Caenorhabditis elegans: one gene and its partners. The protein of the gene in region 3 purifies or fractionates together with the protein of the main gene of each other region. This does not show direct contact. Each region holds a gene or a part of one and is shown on either strand. Other genes may lie near its edges.

Region 1 (3,756 bases), on a different chromosome or scaffold from region 3:
AGGGGTCGTTTACAGATCCGACCACTGTGGCATTCAAATCAGGGTGGAGGGTGGAGATGTCTGCGCGTGTGGTCCTAATTTGGTAATCACTTCATAATCAAGAATTAATAGTCAACCGGAGTCCCGCTGTCCCGTTTTTGTAAATTTAAAATTTTTTATATATAATATAAATTTTACGGGACATTGACACCCTTGGTTCAGACCACCGCATTCTTAACATTAAAAATGAAATAGTTACCTATATGGTTTTCCGGTTCCATCAGCAACAAGGTAAACTCCAAACTCTCCCTTTGGAGCCTCAATTGGGACATAAGTTGCTCCTGGTGGCACTTGGAATCCTTCGGTGAAGAACTTGAAATGATGAATAAGAGACTCCATGTTCTCCTTCATCTCGGCTCTCTTTGGTGGCACAACCTTGTGATCGTCGACCTTGATTTCTCCGGCTGGCATCTTGTTGAGGCACTGATGCACAATGTTCAACGACTGTCTCATCTCCTCAATACGGCACAAGTATCTGTCGTAGCAATCACCCTTGGTTCCGATTGGAACATCAAATTCCATATCAGCATAGGCATCGTATGGTTCGGTCTTTCTCACGTCTTGCTTGATTCCAGATCCACGGACCATGACTCCACTGAATCCCCAGTTGAGAGCATCAGCAGCTGACACAAGTCCGATGTCAATAGTTCTGGCCTTCCAGATTCGGTTTTCGGTGAGCATGTCTTCGAGCTCATCGATACGTTCTGGGAACTTGATGGCCCAGTCGTAGATGTCATCCATAAGACCAATTGGAAGATCCCAAGCGACACCTCCGGGGCGGACGTAGTTGGCATGCATTCTGGCACCAGATACTCGCTCGGAAAACTCAAAGAGCTTTTCACGTTCTGAAAATCAATGTTGGTTTTGTACTTATTTTGAAACAATAAACTTACCCTCGAACATCCAGAAAAACGGTGTCATAGCTCCAACGTCAAGGGCGTGAGTGGTGATACCCATGATGTGGTTCTGGATGCGAGTGAGCTCTCCCATGAGAGTTCTGATATATTTGGCTCTTGTTGGGATGTCAATACCGAGAAGCTTCTCAACAGCCAAAGACCAAGCCTGCTCATTGCACATCATGGAGACGTAATCGAGACGATCGAAGTATGGGAGAGCCTGCAAAGAAAACAGTTGGAAAAATTGATTGAATATTCGATTTGAGTGACAGAAAAAATGATTTGAAACGGATTTCATAGCTTTTGAAAACTAAAATTAGGCTAAACAAAAAATTATTATTTAGACACAATATTTGTCATTTTCAGTTCTAAACTTGGACCGAGTTGAAGATTTTACAAATTTTCAATTTATCATTTTCAATATCGTTTTAGAAACATACCTGAGTGTAGGTCTTGTGCTCAATGAGCTTTTCAGTGGCACGATGAAGGAGTCCAATATGTGGGATGGCCTTGATGATGACTTCTCCTTCCAGTTTCAACACGAGACGCAACACTCCGTGAGCGGCTGGATGCTGTGGTCCGAAGTTGAGAATCATGTTTTCCAGATTCTTCTCTCTGAAAAAAAAAACAAATTATTTTAATTTTCAAGTACTCGGTAAAATTTCTACCTCTGTTTTCCGCTGTAGTTATCACTCATAACTGGATCGGAATAGGCCAACTTTTCAAGCTTGTCAAGTCCGATCTTCTCGTCGAAATCCGAAACCCGCTCCGACATCCACAGCTTTCCGAGGGTACCTCCGGTCTGAAATATTGAAAATTGAGATGTCACTCGTAACCAACAAAAAAAATCAACCTTAAATTGACGCTCAAATTTAGCATCTGGATACCAGATTGTGTGGGAGTTTCGGGTTTGGGTGGCAGGAGTAGAAGACGTCGCCGCGACCGATGGAACGTTCGCTCGGAGACAAGTTCCGGCGATCTTTCTACCCAACATTGTTTCCTATAAAAATATTCGGTGAATAGTGAGCAATAAAAGTTGTGAAGTTAAAGCAACAAAGAGAAACGGAAAAATCGATAAAATCGCTGCCAAATTGCACATTGAACACAGAAAGATTGAACTTCAAAAACCCACCAATTCGCAACTTGATTTTCACAATTTTTTTCATGGAAACTAACAGTCAGTCGTATTTTTTCTTACACGATAAAGATAATATTAAAATTATTAAGAAAAAAGAAAGTAAATTCGCAAAAACAGTGTCGAAAATAGGTACCGAACGAAAATAAGACGACTGCTCGGTATTTAGCGCGTGGTGGAGTGTCGTTGTTTTCCTCGCGTAGCCTCACCTCTCTATTGATTTAGAAGATGTCTTGTTGCTTGGACAGTCGTTCGGAATTGTCATGCTCGGTGTTATTATTTATTTTTGTTTTCTAAGAAACTTTTTTTAAATTGAAAATTGTTTTATAATATAACGTTAATTTGGATTATTTTGTAAAAATTTTTAATAAACTCATTTTTCAATTTTTGATCAAATTGTAAATTTAACCTAATATTTTCGGTACGTGTGTTCCAACATTTTAAAAGTAAATTAGTAATTGTTTTTTTTCTCCACTTATCTAAAACGTGAGTAGTATTATCATGATTAGGTTTGGAAAAGATCGTTTCAAAAAAAAAACAAAATGAAGATCACGTTTAAAAGTTAAGAAATTAAATTTTCAAAATGTGGAGTTATAATACACAAGTTTCATATTTTTTTACACTTATTACCGAAATGACATCATTGTTTTTTTAAAGTACAGATTTTCGAATATACTATTAACTTATTAATTAAACTGATGATATGAAATACAACTTAACGTTTTTTTCTTTTTTGGTTTCAATATCATTTTTCGTTGTGGTCAATTGATACTAATGATGACTTTTTTTTAAATTTAACATGACTCTCATTTCAATTTTCTATATTTTTTTTCAGAATGGCGGATAGTGCAGGGCGTGATGACGACGGAATGAATTCGGATAGCAGTCAGCCATCACAGAACATCGAAAAAGAAGAGGGTATACTAGATGAGGAGTCGTCATCGTCTGAATCAGGAACGGGTACAGATACCGATAAGGATGATCTGGAAGAGAATAATAATCCGCGACCGGTAAGAATATTTCCAATGACTTTCTCAAACATTTAACATCACAATACCTGATTTTCCAAAAACCTCAAAAATAATTACAGATGCTTCCAAAACAAATGGAATCTCGCTGCAAACACGTCAAAGACATCAATCCATCAGACCTCAGCCAGCTTCTACAGAAGAAGTTAAAATGCATGACTTGCCATGATTCAGTCAGTTTCTCATGTGCTCATCAAGATTGTATTAATAGTTTGAAGTCAAGCTGTTGCAAAAATTCCGACCACCTTCTTCCTCATATGGCGGTACGTTTGTTCGCAAATTGACATCAAGTTTTGCTTACTTTTTTGAATTTTGATATAATTGCATTTTTACATAATATCCGTTAAATAGTAATCTACATATATTTATATAATTTGACAGACACATGCGATGAACTTTTTTCTAAACAGAAAACTGTGCAGAAGAAAAATAGGAACATAATCATTTTTATAAGTTAAGCATCATGTTTTAAGCTTGGTAGCAATTAGGTGTAGGGTTAAAAAATTTTTAATCTATCCGAAAATTGAAAAAAAAACACCAAATTGTTGTTAATTGATAAGTTAATGCTTCGATAAGCACAGATCAATCAACCTCAGCGCTCTCAAAATTATTCCAATTTTTTAAGGTTCACAATCATCCTCCAATATTATATCACGAT
Region 2 (3,756 bases), on a different chromosome or scaffold from region 3:
ACCAGCTGGACCACCAGGGCCTGATGGAGACTCTGGACCAGAAGGATTCCCAGGACTTCAAGGGCAATCCGGACCATCCGGTGAAGATGGAGCCCCAGGACAGGAGGGAGCCCCAGGAGATCAAGGAGAACAAGGACCAAAGGGATACGATGGGACCGACGGACCAGACGGACAGCCAGGAACCACATACTTCCCAGGACAAGCTGGACAGCCAGGAGAGCCAGGATGGTTGGGAGAGCCAGGACTTCCAGGACAACATGGAGAGCCAGGAAAGGACGGAGAGGAGGGACCACAAGGAGCACCAGGAACTCCAGGAAACGCTGGTCACGACGCCTTCCCAGGAACCCCGGGACAAGCTGGAAAGCCAGGAGCTCCAGGTAAAATTTTTGTTGTTGTTACTAGGAATTTCTTGAACAAACAGTGATGAAACATTTTAAATTGTTTCAGGAAAAGATGCCAACTACTGCCCATGCCCACAAAGACAAGACGACAGAACCCCACCATCATCTGGAACATCCGCTCCACAGCCACCACCACGTGGATCCACTGCTGCTCCAGGAACTCGTGCTCCACCAGCAACTCGCGCTCCACCAGCAACTCGTGCTCCACCAGCAACCACCCGCGCTCCACCAGCAACAACTCGTCCAGCACCAGCTTCACAGCCACCAGTCAGAGAGCCAGAGACTCCAGATTCTGGATACCCATCCCCAGCTCCACAAGAGCCAGCTCATCCATCACCAAGCTACCCGTCTCCAAGCTATCCATCTCCAAGCTATCCATCCCCAAGCTACCCATCTCCGAGCTACCCATCCCCAAGCTATCCAGCTGAGCCAGCTTATTCCGTCCCACCACCAGCCAAGCCAGAGCAGCCATCAGGAGGATACGATGCTCCATCTCCACCACAAACTGGAAGCTACCAGAGACGTTGGTAGATGCGTGACACTTCTCATGACATTATTTATGACTTTGTTATCCAACTCCACTGAATAAATATTCGTTTTCAAGAACTCACCTTGTAAGCACTTGAAGATGGGGACGCAGCGTTTCCACTTCTGATTGGGGCGTGATTGTCTCCATAGAGAAGAAGGTCATCGTGAACAGCATTAGTGGCAAACAATACTCCGTTTCCTGTGACGAAGTGCTGCTCCTGAAATTTTAAAATTGAAAACTTGCAGATAAGAATAAGCAACTTACTGCAAATGAGGACAAAGTTGATGTGCAGATCGATCCAATTTTAGAGCATGGTGCATAGATTGAGTTTCCAAGTCCTCCATTTCTAAAAAAAAAAGTTTTGCTCAATGAATTCTCGAAAGCTTCTCAATGCCAAACCTGTAAGCGGCCTTGTGAATCTGGTCAACAACCAAGTCGTAAGCGGTTCTGTATCCGTTGTCAGCGCGCATAGTTGGCAGCACATCCTCGACTTCCCATGGCTTGAATCCTGGGTTACCAGCGACTTGTCCCAATACGGAAAGTCCGACGGAAGTGCTTTCGCGTGGAATTGTGAGGGAGACTCCGAAAAGATCGCGGGAGGTGAAGGATTTCTGAAACATCACCCTCGCTATGTCTGTGAGACTTTTTGGAATGCTCATGAAAATTTGATAATTTTGCTCCAAGTTAATTAGACCACATTTTTTCTGAAATTTTGATACAAAATACTTAATTCCAAATTTTTTTTCTAACAAATCTTTTCTAAAAAAAACTGTGAATGTATTATGCAATCTTTCTTCAAATTTACATTAAAATTCTTAGTTCTTTTCTAACGCCCAGTAGATTCAACTTTATCGATTTTTTTTTCTTGCTCACCAGAACTCCTCCGGTCTGTGACAACGTCCATACAACTGTGTTTCCAAAGTATTCCTGGGTATCTCTGCCGACGAAATTTCTGATGGTATGAGAGAGTCCGGCCTGGTTGGCTTTTTCGTAGCGACTTCCAGCTCTGAAGGCAAGAACCTAAAATTTGAAGATGATTTCGGATAGAAGAAACAAATTAAAAAAAAACCAAATGTGCAATTGGTTTGTGAGAGTCGATAGTTCCAACGGTCAATCCATTTCCAAGTTTGGCCACTTTTTCGACTGGTTTTGTCGTTGCTGCCTTATGGGCTCCGCGAACAGCTCCAATGTTGCGGCTAAGCATTCTGAAAAAACTAGATTTTCAAAGAAAAACTAGATAATTTTCAAAAATTGGGTAAAATTGAACAATACGGTTATAAAAAGTGCATAATTTATCAAATTTATTCATTTTTTGTTTAAATATTAAATGGAAAACTAAAAATAACTTCATTTTTCACAAAAATAGGTCCAAAAAATGAGAGACGCCTTTCCCGACTCATTGCTGACGCATCCCTTCTCGCTTGCGCGTTTCGTGCGCACATACGTCACTGGCCAAATGGCATGAAACGACGAGGACTATGAACACTTTATTACGGCAAAAATTAATAAACGAATAATTGAAATTTTTTTAGTTTTTACGAAGCATGTTTTGATAGAACATGTAAGACATGAATGGAACTGTTGTTTGACAAGCGGATTGACGGTTTTCCACGCGGTGGAATTAATTTGAGTTGTGGTTGCTGGCGGTCCTGAAAAAATATATTTGAAAACTAAAAAAATGATATAAATTTTGTGAGGTTTTTTTCGAGAGGAAAAGTTTGATTACAAATTTTTCAGTTTCAGCAAAAATTATGTTTTCCTATAATTTTTACAAAACTAACAAAATGTGCTTAAACCAAGTTAGGATATTTCTGAAGACATTAAAGGTGGTGTAGTCGAATTTTTTTATTGCTTTATTAGACTCAAAATTGTCTGGAAATGCCAAATTTCATAATGAAACTTCTTGAAAACTTCTTTTTAAAAAAAGTTATGACGGCTCACAAAATGGCCCAAAATTCGCTAGAATAACGGCGAGATTTTTAAATTATTTTAAACCAAATCTTGCCTTCCATCGACTTTAAAGTACCTAAATAAAGTTGAAAACACAAGATAATTACACGGTTTATTCAAAATTTGACGGTAATTTCAAAAAAAAATTGTTTCCAGCCGCTGCGACATAGGCAAGTCGGTCAAATTTCAAAATTTAACTAATTTTAGGTCACTTTTTCACGCGTCATAACTTTTTTTTGAGAAGTTTTCAAGAAGTTTCATTATGAAATTCGGTGTTTTCAGACAATTTCAAGTCTAATAAAGCATTAAAAATATTCGACTACACAACCTTTAATAGGATTCGGGAATCACCAAGTCTTGCCATCAAATTTGTACAATAAGAAATAAAGTTAATTTTTTTCAAATTCTAGTATAAATTAGGGAAAATTTATAGATTCACTTACATTCGACTTCACTTTCACAACAAATGCTCTTCTTCGTTTATCGGAACGTATTGGCCGAGTATAACGATAAAGTGATAGGAGGCGTTCCGAGGCTGAAGATGACTGCTCTAACATTAAAATTACTTGCGCCCACTGGAAAGTAAAATGGTGAAACTTGAAAATAAAATGTTGAAGTATAAAAAAATCACCTGACGCTTCCATTCTTTCTCAGTTTCGGCAATTTTCTCATAAGTACGAGTCATCATAGCAATTAGTAGATTCAGAAGCATAACAGTCACAATTAACTCGAAGAGGATGAAAAATACCTTAAAACGAGCTTGTAAGCCTGAAAAGAGCTTTTTTTGTAACCTTGGACTGTGGAGCAATGCTGCTTTTGCACTCGTTCAAGTTTTTATAAAGTGCACCAAATTCTCCCACACTCATAATAAACATT
Region 3 (2,816 bases):
ACAAATTGGTTCGAAAATCGCAATTCAAAGATACTCACTTTGATGTAAACTGTAATCTTTTGTATCAAGAAGTTGACAAAGTTACAGAAAGAAACAAGGTTTGTATATTTGAAAACTCAAAGTATTTACATTTTTATGTTTTCAGATTACTGTTCTTGCAAATTTGAAACCGACACGCGATTTGGAATCAGAATTGATTGCCGGGCAACGTTTGAGCAGAGACCAAATGGATCAGGTTAGTGTACCTTATAGTGCAGCTGGTTAGACTATTGTCGACCACCCAAATGTCCCTGGTTCACCCCCGCTCTATGTTCCTCTCCACTTTGTTAATTTTCTGGAATGGAGATTTTATAAGAGCGAAAATAAAATGTCATTAGCGGTGCTCATCTTCGGTTAATTTTCTCGATATGGCTGATTGGATAATGACTACATTTTTATTTTCACAGATACAAGCGTTCCGAACTTTGCTCGATGGAATGCTGATTCTTGATCCAAGCAAACGAACAACCTGCAATGAGGCTCTCAAACACCCATTCTTCACCATACCTATCAAATAATACATTTCCCAAATTTTTTCGGTGATCTCTAATTTCTCTTCTCCTATTTCGATTGTATGTATGCTATATTTAAATACATATTCCTCGACAGCAAATTTTTTGTTATCTTTCGATTCATTATGGAAATTTTAAATGAAAATGATTGTAAATTCGCTACTTGTTTTGTATACATACTAAAAAATAAAACCAAGAGGCTAGACAAATTAGCAGTTGAGGTGTTGGATCTTCATGTCCTCTGCCTTCGTGGCGTGCGAGTTATAGAATCGGTTTCCACAATATCCGCAAGCATGAACTCCTGGTTTGTCCTGAAAAAATTAAAGTGTGACATTAAAAGTTAAAAAAAAACTAACAAGGTTGATGTATACTTTCGGATGTCCAAGAGCTGGATGTCCTCCATCACAGAAGACAACTCTCTTATCCCCGCAATCCTCTGGAGGGCGTTGATCAATAAGATGCATTGCTACATTTGGATTGACGCTTTTCTTCGAAATATCAAATCTTTGAAGACGATAATCAGATTGATCCCACGCCTGAAAATGTGCTTATTTTATTTGAAAAGTTATATAAGAAACACTTACTTGTCCGGTGTGAGTCACCTTGTCGAATTGTGCATTGTTTTTGGTAATTTGATTCGGAGTTGGTGGCTTTGTTGTAATTGTAGAAGAAGCTCGGACGGCAAGAGGTCCGCGTGAAACCGACTGTTGAAGAAGCCGGTTCATTACTAAACCAAACAGTGATTATGATTAATCGATACAACTTTGAATTCAATATAAAAGAGCAACGAAGAAATAATTGTAAAAACCGTAACAATTTCCTTCTTTATAAAACATGAACAAACATTGTTTTATACTTAAACTAGACAAATTGTTGTTAATCATCTGTTTTCAAACAAATTTGACGTCAATTAAAAAGATGTTTCTCAACGCCCGCAACTTGGCGTCAAATGAAATGCTTGCGTCAAAAACACGAATTACCATTGTGCACCGTAATGAATCTTCCACATCGTTTTCTGAGTGATTTGTGAACGAATAAATTAATTTGACCCGTCAAATTTTAAATAGGATACATGTTTATTCTAAGATTGTCTAAAATTGATTTGATTTTCAGCTAGGGAGGCATAAATTTAAAGTAAGAGTTAAGACAGGGGAGTACGCAAACACTGAACTTGACGACAGTTTCGTGCGATTGCACAATCTCACTTTTGTTGGAATTTTCGTCAGATTTTCCCAATTCTTTACTTTTTTATAATGTACAGATTAGTGTGTCTTTCAAAATGAATGAGTAAACATTTATTCATCTCTGTTTCGTTAAATGTAACTTTCTGTGCTCAGTTCTGCTACATTTTAAAATAACTTTTAGGAACTCCGTATACTGTTTCATAAATATCTTAATTTACAGTCGACATGTCCAAGCTTTACATCGATACCGATGCTGGATCTGATCAGCATCCCGGAACAGAAGCTCAGCCATTGGCTACTTTGGTTCAGGTTAGCACACAAAAATATAGTTGCTAAAAACAAACTTTTCAGGCTATGCTTATTTCGAAAAACTCGGGCGAGTTCTTGATGAAGAAAAAGTCAGAGGAAGGGGAATCGTGGGAACCAGCAGCGAAAGCTGCTATCAAAAAGGCAGTGAAAAAATACGAAGCTGAAGTGAAAAAGCTGGAGAAAGCTGGTTGTAGGGAGAAAGAAGCCGAAGAGGCTCAACATGCTGCTCTCGAAGAAGCCAAGAAGATTACATTTTCTCTTGACAAGTCTCTTCCAGAAGCTAAGGTTATCAAGATTGGAGAATCTGTGCAGCATCGCGATCAACGAGTCTCAATCAAAGCCTGGGTACATCGTCTTCGTCGTCAAGGAAAGTCACTCATGTTCCTTGTTCTTAGAGACGGTTATGGATTCCTTCAATGTGTTTTGAACGATAAGTTGGTATGAAATAGTTTCAAAGATCAACTATAATCGTTTCGTTTTCCAGTGTCAAAGTTATGATGCTGTTACTCTCTCAACAGAGACTTCTGTTCAAGTTTATGGAATTATCAAGGCACTTCCCGATGGAAAATCCGCTCCTGATGGTCACGAGCTTACCGTTGACTATTGGGAGGTTATTGGCAAAGCACCAGCTGGAGGAATTGACAACGTTCTCAACGAAAGCGCTGGAGTCGATGTGATGCTTGATAACCGCCACCTTGTCATCCGTGGAGAGAATGCATCAAGAATTCTTCGTATTCGCGCTGCAGCTACTCGTGCAATGAGAGATCATTTC

The links.
Region 1: the proteins of nduf-6 (region 3) and gas-1 fractionate together in Caenorhabditis elegans (co-fractionation; one large-scale study listed by BioGRID). This does not show direct contact.
Region 2: the proteins of nduf-6 (region 3) and ucr-2.2 fractionate together in Caenorhabditis elegans (co-fractionation; one large-scale study listed by BioGRID). This does not show direct contact.

Annotation. Positions count from the first base shown.
Region 1 is NC_003284.9:15,588,463-15,592,218, forward strand, and holds the start of gas-1 (putative NADH dehydrogenase [ubiquinone] iron-sulfur protein 2, mitochondrial), read right to left. Parts: upstream 1,936-3,756; 5' UTR 1,930-1,935; coding exon 1,789-1,929; intron 1,738-1,788; coding exon 1,604-1,737; intron 1,551-1,603; coding exon 1,376-1,550; intron 1,156-1,375; coding exon 933-1,155; intron 885-932; coding exon 239-884; intron 1-238. Other genes in the region: usp-33 (Ubiquitin carboxyl-terminal hydrolase), read left to right, coding at 2,907-3,080, 3,161-3,361, 3,724-3,756.
Region 2 is NC_003284.9:15,172,283-15,176,038, reverse strand, and holds the start of ucr-2.2 (Peptidase M16 N-terminal domain-containing protein), read right to left. Parts: upstream 2,136-3,756; 5' UTR 2,135-2,135; coding exon 2,000-2,134; intron 1,951-1,999; coding exon 1,804-1,950; intron 1,542-1,803; coding exon 1,330-1,541; intron 1,277-1,329; coding exon 1,195-1,276; intron 1,148-1,194; coding exon 1,013-1,147; intron 1,008-1,012; exon of another isoform or gene 933-1,007; coding exon of another isoform or gene 448-932; intron 378-447; coding exon of another isoform or gene 1-377. Other genes in the region: col-41 (Nematode cuticle collagen N-terminal domain-containing protein), read left to right, coding at 1-377, 448-932; ocr-3 (Ion transport domain-containing protein), read right to left, coding at 2,466-2,579, 3,324-3,455, 3,512-3,628, 3,672-3,756.
Region 3 is NC_003279.8:7,089,202-7,092,017, reverse strand, and holds nduf-6 (putative NADH dehydrogenase [ubiquinone] iron-sulfur protein 6, mitochondrial), read right to left. Parts: upstream 1,279-2,816; 5' UTR 1,277-1,278; coding exon 1,136-1,276; intron 1,088-1,135; coding exon 908-1,087; intron 863-907; coding exon 761-862; 3' UTR 657-760; downstream 1-656. Other genes in the region: prpf-4 (Serine/threonine-protein kinase PRP4 homolog), read left to right, coding at 1-98, 146-235, 447-557; nars-1 (Asparagine--tRNA ligase, cytoplasmic), read left to right, coding at 1,961-2,044, 2,087-2,482, 2,529-2,816. UniProt on the Caenorhabditis elegans protein: Accessory subunit of the mitochondrial membrane respiratory chain NADH dehydrogenase (Complex I), that is believed not to be involved in catalysis. Complex I functions in the transfer of electrons from NADH to the respiratory chain.